2 linked regions of the Notamacropus eugenii genome follow. The protein of the gene in region 1 purifies or fractionates together with the protein of each later gene. This does not show direct contact. Links are inferred from orthologs where the notes say so. Each region holds a gene or a part of one and is shown on either strand. Other genes may lie near its edges.

Region 1 (10,861 bases):
GGAATATCTGGTAGCTAGGTTGGATATAGTGGATGGAGAAGGACCCGGAGTCAGCAAAACTTGAGTTCAAATCCCTCCTAAGACACTTATTAGCTTTGTGACACCAGAGTTTGACCCTTGGTAAGTCATTTAGCCTCTGCCTGCCTCAGTTTCCTCATCTGTAAAATGGGGATAATAATAACACCTACTTCCCAATTCATAAAGCACTTAACACAGTGCTTGGCACAAAGTAGGTGCTATTAATAAATGCTGGTCAACTGGGCGGTCATATACATACCCATACCTCAGTCATTGTATATTGTGTGCTCCAGTGTGTCCCAAGAAGGGCATGATAAGCTTCTCTAACAGTGAGCCATAAAAGAATCAAAAGAGAGGAGAGAAGTTCTAAAAGAGGGGGCCCCCAGAATATCTAAGGGGGTGTCTTAAGAGAAGGAATGTCAGACATCATGGAATATTCACAAGATTTGAAGTCAAAGGACCTGGTAAAAATTTTGGCCATTTTACTTGCTGATCATATAACCTTAGGCAAGTCACTTAATTTTTCTGGGCCTCAGTTTCTACATTTGTTTGAGGGGGTTAGACTACATACCTTTAAGATCCTTTACAGCCCTAAATCTATGATTCTCACCACCTGCTCCCTATCCCCCCAGCTCCCAAGACTCAGCTATGGGTCTCAGCTGCCATGGGTTAATATTTTCATGTACGGGTGAGGTTCCATTAATTATCTCATTCAACTTAGGGGCAGCTAGGTGGTGCAGTGGATAGAACACCAGTGCAGGAGTCAGGAGGACGTGAGTTCAAATCTCACCTCAGACATTGGATACTCACTAGCTGTGTGACCTTGGGCAAATCACTTAACTCCAATTGCCTCATCCTGGGTCATCTCCAGTCATCCTGATGAATATCTGGTCACTGGATTTAGATGGCTCTGGAGGAGAAGTGAGGCTGGTGACCTGCACAGCCCTCCCTCACTCAAAACAAAGTCAAGTGCAAGTCATGTCATTATTTCTTTGATGACATGGTCTTCTTTGGCAACGAGGGATGAACACACATTCAACTTAAGAGTAATTATCGTTGTTAGGTAAGAACATTTTTCAATTGACTCAATCAAAAGCAAGGCTTCCTCGAATCATGTCTATGAATGCTTGAAAGCCTCTCCAAATTGTTTCTGTTACACATCCTCATGTATGTGCCAGGTACCAGGTACCCACAGTAGACTCTGAGTTCCTAGAGAACAAGGATAGTTTTTGCTGTTCTTTGTATCCTTAGCACTTAGTTCAGTACCTAACACATAGAGAGGGACTTAATAAATGTTTGTTGACTTGACATAGTTCACAAATTTACCATCAATGCTCTAGGGGAGTGAAATGGAGAAAATGGGGCACATACCCTTAATGTATATCCTGTGCTTTTGCCTTAACTTGAGATTTTATCTATTTCTTGGCAACCTAGTAATTCTTCACAGATAATGTTGATGCACATTACTAAGTGGTTAATAACATTTTACACAAATTTGCTTTAATAGGATTAAATCAGATTTAATAATTCCTTCTCTGGAATATGAGCTCTCTGAGGGCAGGGACTGGTTCATTTTTGTCTTCATAACTCAAGATTAGCCTCGCATGTAGGTGCTTAATAAATGTTGGTTGGATTTTCCTTTTCTTTTTAAAGATTATTTATTTTTAACATTCATTCCTCTACCTATTGAGAATTCAAGCAATACAAGTCATACAGCATCAACCATTACATGCATGAAGTCATGAAAAACATTTCCACATTAGCCATGTTGTTAAAAAAAAAAACAAAAAAAATAAAATGAACAATGTATATTTCAATCTGCACTCAGAGTTCATCAGTTCTTTTTCTGGAGGTGGATAGTGTGTTTCATCACAGGTCCTTTGGAATTATCTTGGACCATTGTTTTGATCACAGTAGCTAAGTCTTCCACAGCTGATCATGGTTAACTGTGTACAGTGTTCTGGTTCTGCTCCCCTCACTCTGCATCAATTTATACAAGTCTTCAGAGGTTTTTCTACAAACATCCTGCTGGTCATTTCTGATAGCACAATAGCTGAATAGATTTTTCTAAAGCAGAAGTTTGACCAAGTCACCCCTGACCCTCCAAAGTGGTTCCCTATTGACTACAGGATCAAATAAGTCCAGCATTTAAAGTTCTTCACAACTAGTCCTTTTCTTATGTTCCCATCTTTCTTATACCTAATACCCTATACCTTACACAGGCAGCTGGTAGCACAATTCAAATCTGGCCTCAGATATTTACTAGCTGTGTGACTCTGGGCAAGTCACTTAACCTTTGTTTGCCTCAGCTTCCCCCAATGTAAAATGGGGATAATACCACCTACCTCAAAGGGCTGTTGGGAGATTAAATGAGATCATTTCTGTAAAGTGCTTAGCACAGGGCCTGGCACATAGCAGGTACCATAGAAATGCTTCTTCTCTCACACTCCACAGTCCAGCCAGGCTACTGTTCTTTTTATGACTTGATATCTACTGTGGCTGTGCCTTCGTACCCACTGTTCCCTATGCCTGGAATGCAGTTCCTCCTCATGTCCACCACTTGAGTCCTTTTCCTTCCATCAAGGCTTGGCTTCATCCCCAACTTCTGTAAGCCTGTCTCAGTTCTTTCAGCTGCTAATGTCTTCTCCTGTCTGATTACCTTCTGTGTGTTCTGTATATTTTTGGTTTGTATCTAGTTATTTTTATTTTGTCTTTGCCATTAGAATGCACCCTTCTTACTATGCCCAAAGGGCTATAAAAATGTGCATACCCTTTGAACCAGCAATATTGCTTCTATGGCTGTATCCCAAAGAGATCATAAATGGGAAAAGGACCCACATGTACAAAAATATTTTTAGCAGCTTTTTGTAATGGCCAAGAACTGAAAATCGGGGGGATGCCTATCAGTTGGGGAATGGCTGAACAATTTGTGGTATATGAATATAATGGAATACCATTGTGCTATAAGAAATGATGAACGGGTGAACTTCAGAAAAACCTGGGAAGATTTATATGAACTGATGCTGAGTGAAATGAGCAGAACCAGAAGAACATTATACACAGTCACCATCACAGTAGTATTCAAGGACTATTTCTGATAGACTTAGCCCTCCACAACAATTCAAGGACCTAAAACATTCCCAAAGGACTTTTGATGCAAAATGTCATCAACATCCAGAGAAAGAACTATGGAATTGGAATGCAGAATGAAGCAGACTATTTTCTCTTGTGTTTTGTTTTGGTTTGGTTTTTCTCATAGTTTTTCCCATTCGTTTTAATTTTTCTATCCAACATGACTAATACGAAAATGTGTTTAATAAGAATGTATGTGTAGAACCCATAGAAGATGGCATGATGTCTTGGAGAAGGAGGGGAAGAAAGTTTAAAGTCAAAACTTATGTGATATTGAAAACTGAAAACAAATAAATAATAATTAAAAATTAAGAATGTGCCCTCTTTGCGGGCAGGGGATTGATTGCTTTTGTCTCTTCCTTTCTTAGCCAGCATTATGTGGAGATGGCCTGACTTCTTGCAGGTTATCTGCTTTGGAATGCAGCTGCTGAAAGGCTGCAGTAGAAGGCATTCTAAGCCTTTCTAGGCCATTGACACCACCACACAATGGAGGGTATTTAATAAAGCTGTTTTCACTGTTGATGTGGAAGGAATCTTAAGTAGATTCTCTACATATTTTTTTAAGAGTGCATATACCACCATATAGATACCATGAGAAAATTTTGCAAACTGATAGATTATTAAAACAGTTGGTCTTAATTTCCCAAAACAATCCAAGTGCTACAGTAGGAGTCCAATGTATTTGTTTTCAGCTTAAAACCCATAATTTATGCATGAAGACCTTTTAACTTGGTGTCTTCTCTGCGGATTGTGGCCAAGTTAAGGTTTCCTATCCTATTCAATCTATTCAAGGAATATACCAATGGAGCACCTACTATAATATAGAGTTACTACTATATCTACAGTTCACATTTATACGAATTTGGAGTCCGACGATTTAGGTGAGACTGAGAAAAGAGACACAGGCAAGAAACAAAGTACTGGGTTGGAAAACAGCCAAGTGGGCCAGCTTGGCTGAAATGTGAATGCACGGCGGCAAGGAGCAGGAAGGCTGGAACCAAACGGTGAAGGACTTTAAATCCAGCATGGGGGCATAAAAATAATCCTTAAATAGGGAGGTGGGATCTGAACAGCAGATACATCTTCAGAAGTATTGAATGGACACATTTTGCTCAGCGTCTAGCTATAGGAAGCTTAATATTTTTGAGTTGAATTGAGTGGTATAAGGTACCTGGAATTTAACAAAGCAATTTATCTTCCTTTATCAAAAATGATAGTGAAAGAGACAATTCTGTTGGCTGAGGTTAGGGCTGCAGTGTATGGATCACAGATTGAAACAGGTAAGGAAGCTTAGAGGATGGTCTCACTTCGTCCTTTGGCTGGTCAGCTGTGTCTAACTCTTCCTGACCCTGCGGATCAGACTGTCCATGGTTTGTTGTTTTTTTACTTTTGGCAAAGATCAATGCAGCAGGTTTGTCATTTCTTTTTCCAGCCAATGAAGGTGACCAGGAATAAGTGACTTGTCCAGGGTCACATAGCTGCACTCAGGTCTTCCTGACTCCACGCCTAGCATTCTCCCTACTGAGCCATCCAGCTGCCCCATTTGACAGATGAGGACACGGAAGCTCTGACTTGTGACAGAGGACCGGTTAAACCCACCCCTGCGCCCCAAGGAAGAGCCTCAGATGTCTGGTGCATCTTCGTTAACCCGTCAGTAAGCCTTCATTCAGTGCCTGCTGCGCGCCGGGCCCAGCACCGAGTGCCAAGGAGTGTGTGTGTTACGTGGCTGGTCCTTTGCTTTCCGAGAGGGCACCGGGGAGCTGCCGGGACTTGGATCTGGGTGAGGAAGGGGTGGGCAGGGTCAGCGGCCCACCTTCTCCTCCAGGGGCCGGATGCGGGCCAGGACTGGGGAGCCTCGCGGGCAGAGGATGCCCGAAGCCACGAATGCCAGTTCCTGCCAGCTCTCTTCATACAACACAATCCCCGGAGGTCCGTGACTGAGAACATGGTGCCAAGGGGGTCCTGGGTCTACCCCCCCCCCCCGCGGCTGTTCTAGATCACAGATCTAGAGCCTGACTGTCAGTGGGAGGAAGGCCGACCTCGCCAGCCTAAGGGACCACGGGTCTGCCCAAGGCCAGCGCCAGCACCAGGACCAGAACCAGAACCCTGCGATGCTGGATCCGGCCCCATCAGGGCATTGGATGCTGGCTGACCACAATTCATCAAAAATGGGGCGAACAGGGAAAGCCAAAGAAATGGGGGGGGCACAGTCACTGAAAGACTGGAAGGGGCTCTGAATAATACCTGAAATTGACAAATAACGGAAGCCTTTGCTAACTTAGAATAAAGGAAGTCTTTAACGATAATTTAACAGGAAATAAACTTTTTCACTTAATGAAATTAAATAGCTTAATAACAAAATTTAGTAACCTAAAATTTAAAAATAACGGAAGGCTTTCGTAAAAATGTAGTTAACATTGGATCACTTAAAAATGGCGGAAGCTTTCATAATAATTCAGAATGGCTTTCCTAATCATCGTAGCGGCCAGCCGTGCCGGCGCTTTCTGACACGCGAAGCTCTTTCCGAGGGTCCTCGGGAGCCCAGGAAGGAGCCGCGGTGGGGGAGGGGAGGCCCAGCAGAAGTCACGTGGGTGGCCGCCTGGCATCCCGGGACCCGAGAGTCCATTAAGAACCAGGCCGACTCAAACGCTCACACCCCCGGCGGGAGAAGGGGAGGGGCGGGGGAAGGGAGGAGTGGGAACAGGCTCAGCTGACGCGCGCTGAGCGCCGGGATCCGGGAGGAGGCGGTGGGCGGGGCGACCTCCGGGGCGGGTGAATGAGACGCGGCAACGATCCGCACATTCCAGCGTGCCCACGTGACCAGGCCTCGCGGCCTGAGGTAAACAAGCTCTGGGCGGAGGGAGGGGGCGGGGCGCCCGCCTCCCCGGTCCCTGCTACACACTCTCTCTCCCCGGCCTCCGGGACTCACTCCAGCGGGGCGGGCGGCTTGTCCCGGGAGTCCTCTGCCTCCTGGAGCGGCGGCCGGGCGCGTAGAGGGGAAGGGAGAGGCGCAGCCGTCGCTGCTGCAGCCGCAGCCCCCGTGACCCGCGCGCCCCCGCCCCCCGCCCCGTGGCGCAGCAGGAATTGGCGGGCCCGGCCCGGGCGCTATTTGCGGCCGCTGACGAGCGGCGGGCGGCCGGCCCGGGATGGTGGTTGGGTCATTTCTATTCTAGCGGCGGTGGCTCACCCGCCTGGGCCGCGGCCCCCTGGAGCCCGGAGGGCGTGTCCCCCCGCCGGGGGCTCGCCGCGCCTATAAGGGGCCGGAGCGGCCGCGGCGCGGCCATGCAGCTCTACAGCCCGGGCTTCAGCCACTACCCCTCGGGGGGACCCGCCGCCGCCGCCCCCTCCCCGCCCTCCGCGGCCGCCGCCCCCTTCAAGGTCTCCTTGCAGGCTCCGGACGCCGCCGCCGAGGCCGCCGGCGGTGACTGCCTACCCGCCACCCCTCCGGCAGCCGAGTCCCGAGAGGCCGCCGCCGCCGCCGGGATGCCCGCCTTCTCCTCGTGCTTCGAGATGGTGCCTCCGGGCGCCGCCGCCCCTGCTGGCGCCGCGGCGGGAGGCTCGTGCAAGCCGCCGCTGCCCCCGCCGCCCCCGCCGCCGCCACCCCACTACACCAGCACGGCGCAGATGAGCGTGCGCTGCCTGGGCCCCGAGCGCCGGCCGCCCGAGCCCCCGCGCCGCTGCTCCTCGTCCGCCTGGCTGCTGGAGGAGCTGCTCAAGCCGGGCCCCGAGCCCGGCCCGCGGCCGGACGGGCCCGAGCGAAACTTCCGTCTGAGCGAGCACCAGCAGGCCCTGGCCGCCGCCAGGCCCCGCGACGGCAGCCCCCGGCGCTGGGAGGCGGCCGCGCCCGCGCCCCGGGCCCGCGCCGAGGCGGCCCCCGAGCCCCCCGGCCGCCGCGCGCCCTCGCCCGGCGCCGCCGGCCCCAAGGACGAGAAGTTGGCCCTGTACCTGGCCGAGGTGGAGCGGCAGGACAAGTACCTGCGGCAGAGGAGCAAGTACCGCTTCCACATCATCCCCGACGGCAACTGCCTGTACCGGGCCGTGAGCAAGGCGGTGTCGGGCGACCAGAGCCAGCACCGCGAGCTGCGCGAGCAGACCGTGCACTACATCGCCGACCACCTGGACCACTTCGGGCCGCTGATCGAGGGCGACGTGGGCGAGTTCATCATCGCCGCGGCGCAGGACGGCGCCTGGGCCGGCTACCCCGAGCTGCTGGCCATGGGGCAGATGCTCAACGTGAACATCCACCTCACCACGGGCGGCCGGCTGGAGAGCCCCACGGTGTCCACCATGATCCACTACCTGGGCCCCGAGGACTCGCTCCGGCCTAGCATCTGGCTCAGCTGGCTCAGCAACGGCCACTACGACGCCGTGTTCGACCACTCGTACCCCAACCCGGAGTACGACAGCTGGTGCAAGCAGACCCAGGTGCAGCGGAAGCGGGACGAGGAGCTGGCCCGCTCCATGGCCATCTCCCTGTCCAAAATGTACATCGAGCAGAACGCCTGCTCCTGAGGGGCCGCCGGAGCGCCGCCCGCCCGGGCGTTTGGATCGACACGGGCTCCGATCAGGGTTACAGCACTTTCTAAACTTACTAGAGTTACTGTAGGTGTGAGGCCTTAATCACTTTGTTGGGACAGGTTTTTTTCCAGAGCTGAAGGTTGCAGCGCACCTGAATGATGTTTTATGATAGATAGCCTTGAGTAGTCTTAATGCTATTTATAATTTGTTGTATAAAGTTAGCACCACTTTATTTGCAAGCTGATTTTCTCATAGTGTATATTTGTTTATTCCTGGTAATCTATTTTCTATAAAAATGTATTTTTGCACAATATTTTTTAAGATTGGTGTACCTCCATTTATGACGTCTCATTTTGGCAAATGGCTTTTGGGCAGAGACCCAGAGAAGTACTTTGTATAAAGCTTATTTTGTACAGAGTTTGTGTTCTTTTATGCTGTATGGGATTTGAACTTTACATTTATTCTTTCAAATGAAATTGATGTCATTGGTGTTACCAGATAATTGATCCATTCCATCTCGAGGAGAAGAGTTTCTTGATTGGAAACCGTTGGATTATTTAGGAAAAGGAAAAGCTTTAAAAAAAAATGGGGGGGAAGGAAATGAGGTAGAGGAAAAACATTTTTGTCTAAAGGGCAGAACAAGTTTGTTCTGACTGACTGAGTTCCCATGTTCATTGGTATAGTGATTCTGTACTTTGGTTACTGTGTAAAGTGGCCTCTGATTGTCTGGTGCTCTCAGTTTTATTTATTTTTCATTTGTTACAATAGGATTTTAACATAGGAGAAAATGTGGTAACAAGATAATAGTCTTCTGCTTTTGTAATAAGTGTCTGATTCAGCTTGGGGATTTTAAAATGAACAGTATAAATGCCCCTGACAGCAGTTAAATTGTGGCAGGAGAATATTATCTTTGTACTTTGTTCCTTTGAAATACTTTCAAGGGTAAAAATGGAATTGTCCGGTATTATGTAAAGCTATCTGAAAAGAGCTTGTATGGTTTGCTGGGTCAAACGTTTCCAACTTAAAAGCTATCTCGTTTCCAATTTTAACTACTTTTAGTCATATTTATTAAGTAATGCAGTTTGTACTTTTTTATTTTGTAATATTTTGTGATTTTTTTGACTTTTTACTGTATTTGTATGATAGGACTATTCTCAGCTAATGGAATGAATAAATGCATACTTTTAATATTGTCTCCTAGTAGCAAATTTTGAAGTTATTTTTTTTCTTTTGGACTGATGTGTGATTTCATTGGTATAAGAATTTTCTTTGAAGAAATGTCTTCCAATGCAATTCACAGCTGCTCTGCAATTTATAGGCTTGGTGTTAGTTGTTCAAGGGCACCGAGGTTAAGTTACTTGCCCACATCATAGGACACAGCCTTTGTATGTTGTTAGAGAAGGGACTTTTAATTCAAGTCTGCCAGATTCTGAGACTTGAGTTGTGATCCACTACTCTGGCTGGGCCTGCCTCCTCTCTAAAATGATTTCTGTGAGTGGATTCATTTCCCTTTCACAAGTCACATTTTTCTTAGATGATGTAATAATACTGAATTCTTTAATAGTAACCTGGATTGGGCAACTATTAAGTCATTAAAAAAGTTTTGGAAGGAAATAATTTACAAGTAGAGTAAGAAATTGCTTCCATTATTTACATATAAATATTTTTATCTAGCAGATTCTAGATAAGAACATTAATTCCTCTTTGGCATTCTAAAACAGTGGAGGAAGTATATAAGTTTGAGTAAATTGGTGTAATGGTTTGGTTTTTGAGTGTAGATTTTTAACTTTATAAAATTATAGTTAAAGGAATTTCTGGTTTTAATTCATTCCAGGTTTTCATAATCAATACCTTTTATTAGAAATGTTTCATTCGTGGTTGACCTACACATAAGCAAAAATAAGCTTTGCAGAAGCAACTGGTTATTAGTTTTTCCTCATATCTTCTACCCCCCAGCCACTCATCCCTTTTAAAAGGAATCAACCTAGCTGTTTTGACACAGCAATTAATATTTTTTCACTTGTTTTTGCAGTGTGTACATAGTTATAGACTGGAGTTTGAGTAAATTCCTTCATAAATCAGGAATTATGTTACTGTCAAATAAAGATTAATGTGTCATTTTGGTTGTATTAGGTCTTTGGCTTTTTGGCCCAAGAAGTAGATCAAGCATAATTGGGTAATTTGGGAGGAAAAAGGATGAGTGTAGTGTCTTTTGCAGTAAATCAAGGGGATATTGAAAGCTCCATTTGTGTCTTATTCCCCCAGATTATTTCCTGTTAAATTCTACGTAGGGTATGAGGAATCTTAGTCTAATATTGATATTCCTATTTCTACCTCATGCTAACTTGAATCTTAGCAAAGTTTATTTTTTTCTAATGTCATAGCTGACGTTTGTCGAATTTTGTATTTTTAAAGTGAAGATTAGCTCCTTTGAGACTCAGAATTCTATAAATTAATTACATGACCATTTTTCAGATGAGGGAATTAAGCCTTAGAACTGCTATGTGTCTTATTCATGCCCTGTGTTAAAGCAGGATTTAAAGCCAAGTAATGGGACTCCCCAAGGCCAAAATGTTTTGTTATAGTATACTAGCACACCAGATGGATTAGTTATCTGATTTGATTAAGTTATCTGATTTGATTAACTTACCTGATTTGAATCTTAGTCATTTACAGTCCCTGTCCTTAAAGAGCTTAAGTCCTGCCAGAAGGGTATGTGTTCCTGGGTATGTGTTCCTAGTTAAGTAACCACACAGCAATAGGATGTGGGATGGAGGGAGTAGGGAAGGGAGATGATGATCCTAAGGAAGGCATTAAGCATTTTTCCCCTTCCTTACTGCATCATTTCACCTTTGGTAGCTTCGGTAGAAACCCTGAACCTCTGAGGACTCTGAAGAATTGAGGACAGGTAGGTTCAAGTGCTAGCCTGATTACTTGCCAGTGTGACCTTGAACGATTTGGTTCATTTATAACCTCTCTGACCTTCAGTTCCTAATCTGTAAAGTGAGGGTGTTGGACTAGATGTCCTTTAACATCCCTTTCAGCTCTAAATCTGGATAAGATTGATTGGAAATCTGAACTCATAAAAAGTCTAATAGGAATAGGATATGTGATTGACTGGTATGCAGAGGTGTCAAACTCAGGACCAAAAGGCAGCTAGCTCCCAAGTGTGCTAGAACCAACCGTATTAAAA
Region 2 (10,734 bases), on another chromosome or scaffold:
AGGGATAAGGATGGAAACTATATCCTACTAAAAGGCACCATAGACAATGAAGCAATATCATTACTAAACATGTATGCTCCAAGTGGTATAGCATCCAGATTCTTAGAGGAGAGGTTGGGGGAGTTGAAGGAAGAAATTGATAGCAAAACTATACTAGTGGGGGACCTCAACCTCCCCCTCTCTGAACTAGATAAATCCAACCTTAAAATAAACAAGAAAGAGGTTAAGGAGGTAAATAAAACTCTGGATAAGGTAGATATGATAGATCTTTGGAGAAAATTAAATGGGAATAGAAAGGAATATACCTTTTTCTCAGCGGTACATGGAACATTTACAAAAATTGACCATGTACTAGGACATAAAAATCTCACAATCCAGTGCAGAAAGGTAGAGATAATCAATGCATCCTTTTCAGATCATAATGCATTAAAAATTACATGTAATAAAAGGCCATGGAAAGAGAAACCAAAAATCAATTGGAAACTAAATAATCTAATTCTAAAGAAGGATTGGGTTAAAGAAGAAATCATAGAAACAATCAACAACTTCATTCAAGAGAATGACAACAGTGAGACAACGTACCAAAACTTATGGGACACTGCAAAAGCAGTTATTAGGGGAAGTTTTATATCTCTGAATGCTTACATAAATAAAATAGAGAAAGAGGAGATCAATGACTTAGGCTTGCAGTTGAAAAAGCTAGAAAAAGAACAAATTGAAAATCCCCAAGTAAATACCAAATTAGAAATACTGAAAACCAAAGGAGAGATTAATAAAATTGAAATAAAGAAAACTATTGAATTAATAAATAAAACCAATAGTTGGTTTTATGAAAAAACTAATAAAATTGATAAACCTTTGGTTAATCTGATCAAAAAAAAGAAAGAAGAAAACCAAATTACTAACATTAAAAATGAAAGGGGTGAACTCACCTCCAATGAGGAGGAAATTAAAACAATAATTAGAAACTACTTTGCCCAACTTTATGCCCACAAATTCGACAATCTAAACGAGATGGATGAATATTTTAAAAAATACAAATTGCCCAGATTAACAGAAGAGGAAGTTGAATACTTAAACAACCCCATCTCAGAAAAAGAAATTGAACAAGCCATCAATGAACTCCCTAGGAAAAAATCTCCAGGGCCAGATGGATTCACAAGTGAATTCTATCAAACATTTAAAGAACAGTTAATTCCAATACTACATACACTATTCTTGAAAATTGGGGAAGAAGGAGTCCTCCCAAATTCTTTCTATGATACAAATATGGTTTTGATACCCAAACCAGGAAGAGACAAAACAGAGAAAGAAAATTATAGACCAATTTCCCTAATGAATATAGATGCAAAAATTTTAAATAAGATTTTAGCAAAACGAATACAGCATCTTATCACGAGATTAATACATTATGATCAGGTAGGATTCATACCAGGACTACAGGGCTGGTTCAATATTAGGAAAACTATTAGCATTATCGATCACATCAACAACAAAGCTAACAAAAACCACATGATTATCTCAATAGATGCAGAAAAAGCTTTTGACAAAATACAACATCCATTCCTACTAAAAACATTGGAGAACGTAGGAATAAAGGGAACTTTCCATAAAATAATAAGCAGTATCTATCTAAAACCTTCAGCAAGCATTATATGCAATGGGGATAAGCTAGATGCATTCCCAATAAGATCAGGGGTGAAACAAGGTTGTCCATTATCACCACTATTATTCAATATGGTACTAGAAATGTTAGCTGTAGCAATTAGACAAGATAAAGATATTCAAGGAATTAGAATAGCCAAAGAAGAAACTAAGTTATCACTCTTTGCAGATGATATGATGATTTACCTAGAGAATCCCAGAGATTCAAGTAAAAAATTACTTGAATTAATAAACAACTTTGGCAAAGTTGCAGGGTACAAAATAAACCCACACAAATCCTCTGCATTCCTATATATTAGCAACAAAGTTCAACAGCAAGAGATAGAAAGAGAAATCCCATTTAAAGTTAGGGTAGACAGTATAAAATACTTAGGAGTCTACCTGCCAAAACAAACCCAGGGACTATATGAACACAATTACAAGACACTTTTTGCACAAATAAAGTCAGATTTAAGTAAGTGGAAAAAGATTAGTTGCTCATGGGTAGGCCGTGCTAATATAATAAAAATGACAATTCTACCCAAATTAATATACTTATTTAGTGCCATACCAATTAAACTATCAGACAATTACTTTCTAGAGCTGGATAAAATAATATCAAAATTCATTTGGAAAAACAAAAGGTCCAGAATATCAAAGGGACTAATGAAAAGAAATGCTTGGGAAGGTGGCCTAGCACTACCAGACCTTAAACTGTACTATAAAGCAGCAATTATCAAAACCACTTGGTATTGGCTAAGAAACAGAGAGGTAGACAAGTGGAATAGACTTGGCACTGAAGATGCAGTAGGCAAGGAATATAGCAACCTTCTGTTTGATAAACCCAAGGACCCCAGCTTCTGGGATAAGAACTCATTGTTTGACAAAAATTGCTGGGAAAACTGGATAACAGTGTGGCGGAAATTAGGCATAGACCCATACCTGACACCGTACACAAGAATAAAGTCCAAATGGGTACATGATTTAGGTATAAAGATTGATACCATGAATAAACTGGAGAAGCAAGGAATAGTGTATTTATCAGATCTATGGAGAAGGGAAGAATTCTTTACTAAAGGAGAGATAGAATGCATTATGAAATGCAAAATGGATAACTTTGAGTACATTAAACTGAGAAGTTTTTGCACAACCAAACCCAATGCAACCAAAATCCGGAGGGATGTAGTAAATTGGGAAAAAATTTTTACAGCTAAGCTCGGGGATAAAGGCCTCATTTCTAGAATATATAGAGAACTGACCCAAATGTATAATCATACAAGTCATTCCCCAATTGATAAATGGTCAAAGGATATGAACAGGCAATTTTCAGAGGAAGAAATTAAAGCTATCTATAATCATATGAAAAAATGCTCTAAATCACTATTGGTTAGAGAGATGCAAATCAAAACAACTCTGAGGTACCACATCACACCTATAAGATTGGCAAACATGACAGAACAAGAAAATGATAAATGCTGGAGAGGATGTGGGAGAGTTGGAACACTAATTCATTGTTGGTGGAGCTGCGAGCGCATCCAACCATTCTGGAGAGCAATTTGGAACTATGCCCAAAGGGCTACAAAAATGTGCATACCCTTTGACCCAGCAATATCGCTACTAGGACTGTATCCCCAAGAGATCATAAAAATGGGAAAGGGTCCCACATGTACAAAAATATGTATAGCAGCACTCTATGTAGTTGCCAAAAACTGGAAGTCAAGGGGATGTCCATCAATTGGGGAATGGCTGAATAAATTATGGTATATGAATGTAATGGAGTACTATTGTGCCATAAGAAATGATGAACAAGAAGACTTCAGAGAGGCCTGGAAGGACTTATATGACCTGATGCTGAGTGAAAGGAGCAGAACCAGGAGAACTTTATGCACAGCAACAACCACAGTGTGTGAGAGTTTTTTCTGGTAGACTTAGATTTTTGTAATAACACAAGAACTCCTGAAAAAAAAAAAAATCCCAATGGTGGACCTCAAGGCAAAATGCCTTCCACACTCAGAGAGAGAAATATGGAAGTCACTCACATAATGTAGCAGATCATGTTTGTGTATGTGTATCTGTCTGTGTATCATGTTCTGATTTGTTATACGGATTCTCTCATTTATCTTAGTCTGACTACATAGCATGACTATAGTGAAAATATACTCAATAGGAAAGTATATGTAGAATCTATACAGAATTGTATGCAGTCGTGGGGAGGGAGGGAGTTAGTGGGGGGTGGGTGGGGAGGGATAAAATCGCAATTGTATGGCAGTGATTGTTAAACATTAAAAAAATAAAAAAATTATAAAAAAAAAAAAAAGAAAAAAGGAATGGTATTTTAATAGGCAAATAACATTTTAGTAGGGGCAGCTAGGTGGTGCAGTGGATAGAGCACCAGTGTAGGAGTCAGGAGGATCTGAGTTCAAATCTCACCTCAGACACTTGACACTCACTAGCTATGTGACCTTGGGCAAGTCACTTAATCCCAATTGCCTCATCCTGGGTCATCTCTAGTCATCCTGATGAATATCTGGTCACTGAATTTAGATGGCTCTGAAGTGAGGAGAAGGGAGGCTGGTGACGTGCACAGCCCTCCCTCACTTAAAACAAAGTCAAGAGCAAGTCATGTCATTATTTTTCTGATGGCATGGTCTTCTTCCACAACGAAGGATGAACACACACACACAAGATTTTAGTATTTATTATGAAAATGGTTTTGATCTCAAGGACCATCTGAAAGGGTTTAGGGGACCACCAGGGGTTGGTGGACCACATTCTGAAAACCACTCATCTAGTTAATTTGCATGGGTTGGGAAAAAACCCCAACATTTCTCAAATCCATATCATGTAAAAATAAGCAGTGTCTACTCTCCAATAACACAGAGGTATACCAATCATCTGTGATCCCTTGGGTCTCACAGTGTCAAGGTGATTATTCTCAGTAAAAAAGTACATGTCACAAATATATAGAAGTCAGTGCAGAATACTTTGTATAGCAGTCTCTAGGGTTAGGGTACATTGCCTATGAACTAACCCCATGGATACAACCTGTCTGGTAGGATAAACCTTCACAGATAAAGTCTGTGACTATGGAGCAGAGGAAAGAAAGCTACCTGACCAAAAGATAGAATCCATAATTTTGTTGAAAGATATTCTAGCATTATCCATTCAAGAAACTAAGCACATACCTACTATGTACGAGGGACCAGAAGGCATTGTAGCGTGATTTACTTTGATACTGGCTCTATAGTCAGAGAACCTACTTCAAATTCAGTCTTTAATGTTTTAGTACCTATGTCACCTTGGCCATCATCCGTGGGCCTGTGTCCTACTCTATAAAATATAAGAGTTGGACTAGAATCTAGTACTTGGGTACAACCGTTTGAGTGAGTCCAAGTTTTACAAAACAAAGCCTTTTACTAAGGGGATTTGTTCTGTGAAGTTTGGATTCAGCCAAAGGGCTGCAGTTGAAGACCTGGAAGGCCAGCTGTGGCCTTGAGGCCACAGATTCCCCACCCCTGGACTAGATGGTGTCTAAGGATCTTTCCAACTTTAGACTGAAGTAAAGAATACAAAGATAAAATGCATGGTCCATGTCCTTAGGATGTTAAAAATCTAATTGTGGAGACATGAAGTCCATTCCTAAAATGTTTAAATAGTGAAACTTACTTGTAATATTTGTAATTTTCTTTATTTTCTGTGGAGCTCCAAAGACCAGTTTCCCAATTTTGCTTATATTTCAAGTGCCTGAAATATTAATTTCCGCTCAGTCCCTCTCATTCTACAGTTCTGAAAATACAGCCAAGGGAAGTCAACTTATCGATGTGCTGGTGCTCTCAACTCCATTGGCGGCCCCAATGCCAGGAGAGGGTGGGAGCATAGGATCATAGAGTCAGGGACCTTGAAGTAATCATAGCGGCCAACCTCATTTGACCTAGAGGGAAACTGAGGTTCAGAGAAGGCAAGGGACTTGCACAAGGTAGTAATAGAGCCAGTAACAGGCACAGCAGGATGACACCTTCATTAAAGGAAAACCCTAAGTTCTGGAAGAGGGAAAAGGCCGGAGGGCCAGAGGTCCAACATGCCAAGGTCACCAAAGGCCTCGGGAGCCCAGGAGGGCTCTGACCTGTGAAGAAGCCAGTCAGAGTTGTTACCATAGAGCCTGGGTGTCCACTGGCGGAACCAGGCGGGCCCCCGGATCTGTCAAGTCCCGCCACCGCCGCTGCAACTGAACCGGGCAACTGAACTGGAGTGAACAGCCGTACTAAGAAGGAGGAACTGGTAGTCCCAAACTAAAGAAATAGGTACCGAACTATGCCCTGAGAACGCCACCCTAGAACATTACCGCCCCGGGCCAGAGTACTGAAACGTGCACATGCGCGAGGTGGCTCCGCTTCCTCAGCCAATGGTTGCACAGCACTAGGAACAACGCAGCTCTCATTCCCTTTCACTATCCAGTGGCCAATTGGAGGGCAGCGTCTGCGCAGGCGGTTCCATCGGTCCAATGAGAATGCGTCTCTAGGGAGACCCCGCCTGCGAGGTGGGCTGGGATGGAATAGAGTGGCACTTGGAGGCGGACTGTGGTTAACGGGTCAGTAGCTGGGTGAGAAAGCCGAAAAGGGGAGGCGGCGGGTCGGCCGCAGTCGCAGTTGGTCCGGGACTTCCCGTCGTCGTTGTCGTTGTCGTAGTCATGTTACGATGTGGAAGCACCGCCGTGGCTGGGTTGGCGCCTTTGGTACGGACTTTCAGCGTCCGTGGCCCGAAGCAGAGGAGCCGGCTTCCAGGTAAGTTAGTTCCCTGACGCTCCCGTTGCAGTTCTCTACCCCTCCTCTCCCCCCACCCGTCGGACCCTGACCGTGATCCCAGGGAACCCCCTGCACGGCCCGCGTCTCTCCCCCCCTTCCCCCCCCCCCCCCCCCCGCAGGCAAACCCCTTCCGCACGCTCACTCGCGCCTTTTTTGGGAGCGCTCCAAACTCTTGAGGCAGGACTCGCCGGCCTGACCTTCAGAGGCATCACCTTCCACCCCCATCCCCCTAGCTGACAGGCTGCTGGCTAGAATCCCTGCAGCCCAGCCCCTGCAGTCCGGGGTGGCCTTCTGGCTAACACCCCCTCCCAACCCTATGCCTTTCCTTCCCGGGGCTCCAAGCGGGCTTCTGGGGACCCACGTGTGCTAAGTACTACTTAAACCAGCTAGGCCCCGGGGGGAGACTGGAAGATGAATCAGAAAAAAGTTCTAGCTCTAGCCCTTGGAGAGTCTGTCAAGTAGGGGAGATCAGTAAGACTCGACCCCAGAGAATGGATAATAGAGGGCAGAAAGCAGGAAGCTCCAGGACAAAAAAAAAGTGGCGCAAAAAAAGTACTGAGACTTTAAAAGAGAGAGGAATGTTTTCTGATCGGGTGGGAGCTGAGAATACTAAATGGAAGGAGGTGGCATTTTACCTGATTCCCGAAGAGAAGGAATAAAATTTCAACTAGGTAACAGGAAGGGAATTTCAGAAATATTGGACTGTGAAAGTTTGGAAGTCTAATGGAAAAAACCCTGGAACTCTGCCATTTATTATAGATGTGACTTAAGCCATTTAATAATAGTCTTTTCCTCAGTTTCTTCATCTGTAACAGACATATCATCTACTTTACCTATCTTAAAGTCGAGAACATAGATGTGAAAACACTTTCACAATTCAAAAGTCCTGTCTGTGTCAAGTATCATTGAAACAACTGTAAATATAAATCATGAAATAAATACCACAAGAGCTGGGAGGGCAGGCCAAAAGTGAATTGAAAAATAGGGTCTGGTGTGACTTTGTGGTTATCTTTAATGCCAATTTTAGAGTTGTTTTTTAACCAATGCATAAGGTGCCTTCTCAGTATTAGAAAGTAAATAATGTGGTTCAATGGTCTGTTCAGCCTAATATTCTTCTCTGATGCTGGGAAAGTAGGATATTTGCCCTTCATGAAGTTGACCTCAAAAAGTTAACAGTGGTGTCCTATCAGAAGCAGTAGCCTGAGATTTTAAAGACCTAGGTTCTACTCCTGGTTCTGCTACTGATACTAGCTGTGTAACCTTAGGTAAATCATTCTGGGCCTCAGTTTAATCTTTTGGAAAATAAAAGATTTATATTAAATCTATTAAAAGTCCCTTCCAACTCAGAATGCTATAATCAAACACCCCTAAATTCCTGCCTTACTAGTCCATCATGCATATGCCATCCATGAATTTATCAGAACATTTCATGAATTTTACTTACACACACACATACACCCCATGACCTCTTGTGTACCCTGTGACCTCTTCTGGTAGTAAGTTACCAGTTTTTAGGAGATACAATTAATCTTTCTTTTAGAGGTCTTCTTCAGTTCTTGCTAATATCAATAGTGACATGAAAATGTTTGCCTAAGTTTTTGCACCATTTTCCTGGAGCCATTGACTCAAGAGTGCTTCTTGAATGAAGTTTTAGTATCTTGAGTGATCTTACACTTCGAATCTTAACACCTCTGTTGTCAGGAACTTTAAAAACATTGTTTTTTAGGGCAGTTAGGTGGTACAGTGGATAGAACACTAGCTTGGAGTCAGGAGGACAGGAGTTCAAATTTGGTCTCTGACACTCATGTTTATTAACTGTGTGACTGTGACCGAGGGCAAGTCACTTAACCCTGACTTCAGGTGCGGCAATAAAAAAGGATTGTTTTTTGACAGATATCCTGGTTTCCAGACATCTCTGTTGTCTGCACGCCAAAATTATGGTACTATCCATAGGCAAGTTACACAACATTCTTAGACGGAATGTATAACCTTTTTGCCCTTTCGTAACTTTGACCTCCAACTTAAAACATCATTGCTTTGGTCTGTGGAATTGAACATTTCATGGGAAAATGCCTTCTTAATACATACTTATTGCTTATGCTATTATCTTCACTTACTTAGATTTGAAAGCATTTAGTGATGTTAGTGCTGAAAGGAATTGGCTAGTTTTATTTTGCCTTCATTAGTAACTTGTTCAGAGATGGGCTGCTGTATTACTACTTCTGGTTTCTTGACTATTTGCTCCTTCTTCGTAGATTTATATAATTCATAGAATCTCAGAGGTGGAATTGATCTCCAACACCATATAATTTAACTCATACCTAAGAAGACTCCCCTCTAAAACATACCCCATAAATGGCCATCCAACCTTTAAGCCCTCTAGTGAAAGAGAACTTTCCAAGGCAGTTCATCTCACATTTGGACATACCTCTGATAGGAAACTTTTCTTTACATCAAAAAGGAGTCTGCCTCTTTGTAAATAAGTCTGACCCAGCTTTTCACATGGCAGCCTCTCTAATAAATACTTGAAGACAATTCTTCTCCCACCCCAGTCATCTTTTCTCCAAGCTAAACAGCTCCTTCAACTGATCCTTACTTAATAGCATAATCCTCAAGTAGCATGGCCTTTCTTGGTTACCTTCCTCTGCATGAGCTTGAGCTTCTCTGTGACCTTCCTGAAGTGTGGAGCTCCAAACTGAACACAATACTCCAAATCTCCTCCCTCCCTCTGTACACTCTTCTCTGCATTTGGCCTAAGATAGATCTCATTTGTTTTGGGAGTTACTTCACTCTATGGATTCATATTGATTGACCTTGCTGGTGTGCTGAAGCCCCCAGAATCTTTTGTCTACTGTCTTGTATTTTGCGCTTGATTTTTAAAAAACAAATGTAGCGTTAATTTATCCCCATTAGATTTCACTCATCCTTACAGCCTATTAAAATCTTTTTGGATCCTGACTTTTTTTTAAAGATTTCTCCCAAGTTTTTTTTTTAATCATTTGCAAATTGGATGAGCCTGTTCTCTTTCCAAAATTTCATAAAACAAACCATTGATGTAAAAGTTCTTTGGTCTCCAAAAGACACTATAGTAGACCATTATTACAAACACTCTTGTCCCCAAGTAAACTCTTTCACCGTAATGTTTTTCTTAATTTCTATTATTACCAATAATTCACATTTTGGTGTTGCTTTAATATTTACAGAGAGCTTTTCTCAGAGGAACCCTGTGAGGTTAGTATAAATGTTCCCATTTTACAGAGGAGGAAACCAAGCCTTTTTCTACTGATAAGACACTAGAGTATGTAAACACTGAATCTCATTGTTGGGAAGGGACTTTAAAAGGCAGTCTCTTCCAAGGTCTACATGAATAGGAATTCCTTCTACAGAGTTTCTAGTAGATCTTATAGCTTCCACTTGGAGACTTCCAGCGAGAGAGAATGCCTGACTTTGCAAGATAGCCAGTTCCACTTTTGGACAGCTTGAAATGTTGGGAAAGTTTTCTCTACATCAAGGAGATTTTGCCTCTCTCCAACATTGTTCCTAATTTTGTCTCTAGGGCCAAACAAAAAAAATCTTAGCCTTCATTCAAATGAAACACTTGAAGGCAGCAGTCCTGTTCCTTATCCTGCTCAGGTAGTAAATTTTACTGCATATTTTTGGTGAGAGACTTGCTTTTTCCATAGAGTAGTCTTTTTCCTTGATCAACATTGGGCTAAGATTCAAAACACAGACTGTCCTTTCGCCTTGCTTTTAGACCTTGGGTGAACCTGGCCTCTGTTGTTACTTGAAATGATTATAATCATAACTGATATTTTAATAGTGCTCTTTACCATTTTTCTCATGGTTTCTCCCATTCATTTTAATTCTTCCATGCAACATGACTAATGTGAAAATGTGTTTAATAAGAATGTATGTGTAGAACCCATTTAAGATTGCATGCCTTCTCGGGGAGGGAGGGGGGCAAAAAATCTAAGACTTATGGAAGTGATTGTACAAAACTGAAAACAAATAAATGTTTTTAAAAATAGTGTTCTTTCCCTCTTACTAACATTAGGTCGATTTAAGGTATATTAATGCTAAAGCAAGTCTTGCCCCGAACATCACAGTGTTGATTACTTAGCAAGGTTGTGAGCTTCAAATGAGATGTGCAGTGCATCCATTTCTTGCTAGACAGGTGTCAGTATATGAGTGCTAAAGACCTTCTGGGTTACACAATGGAGTTTGACTTCTGTTCTGAAATATTTTGTTTCACTGCCAAACATGCTGCCCATGTGATCAAACTGATCTT

Evidence for each region.
Region 2: the proteins of OTUD1 (region 1) and AIFM1 purify together in Homo sapiens (affinity purification with mass spectrometry; 3 studies listed by BioGRID, with this or other methods). This does not show direct contact. The link is inferred for Notamacropus eugenii from reciprocal best matches to the Homo sapiens genes OTUD1 and AIFM1.

What each region holds. Positions count from the first base shown.
Region 1 is NC_092874.1:64,222,707-64,233,567, forward strand, and holds OTUD1 (OTU domain-containing protein 1), read left to right. Parts: upstream 1-5,449; 5' UTR 5,450-6,432; coding exon 6,433-7,662; 3' UTR 7,663-8,863; downstream 8,864-10,861. UniProt on the Homo sapiens protein: Deubiquitinating enzyme that specifically hydrolyzes 'Lys-63'-linked polyubiquitin to monoubiquitin.
Region 2 is NC_092879.1:51,897,077-51,907,810, reverse strand, and holds the start of AIFM1 (apoptosis-inducing factor 1, mitochondrial), read left to right. Parts: upstream 1-6,118; 5' UTR 6,119-6,331; coding exon 6,332-6,425; intron 6,426-10,734. UniProt on the Homo sapiens protein: Functions both as NADH oxidoreductase and as regulator of apoptosis.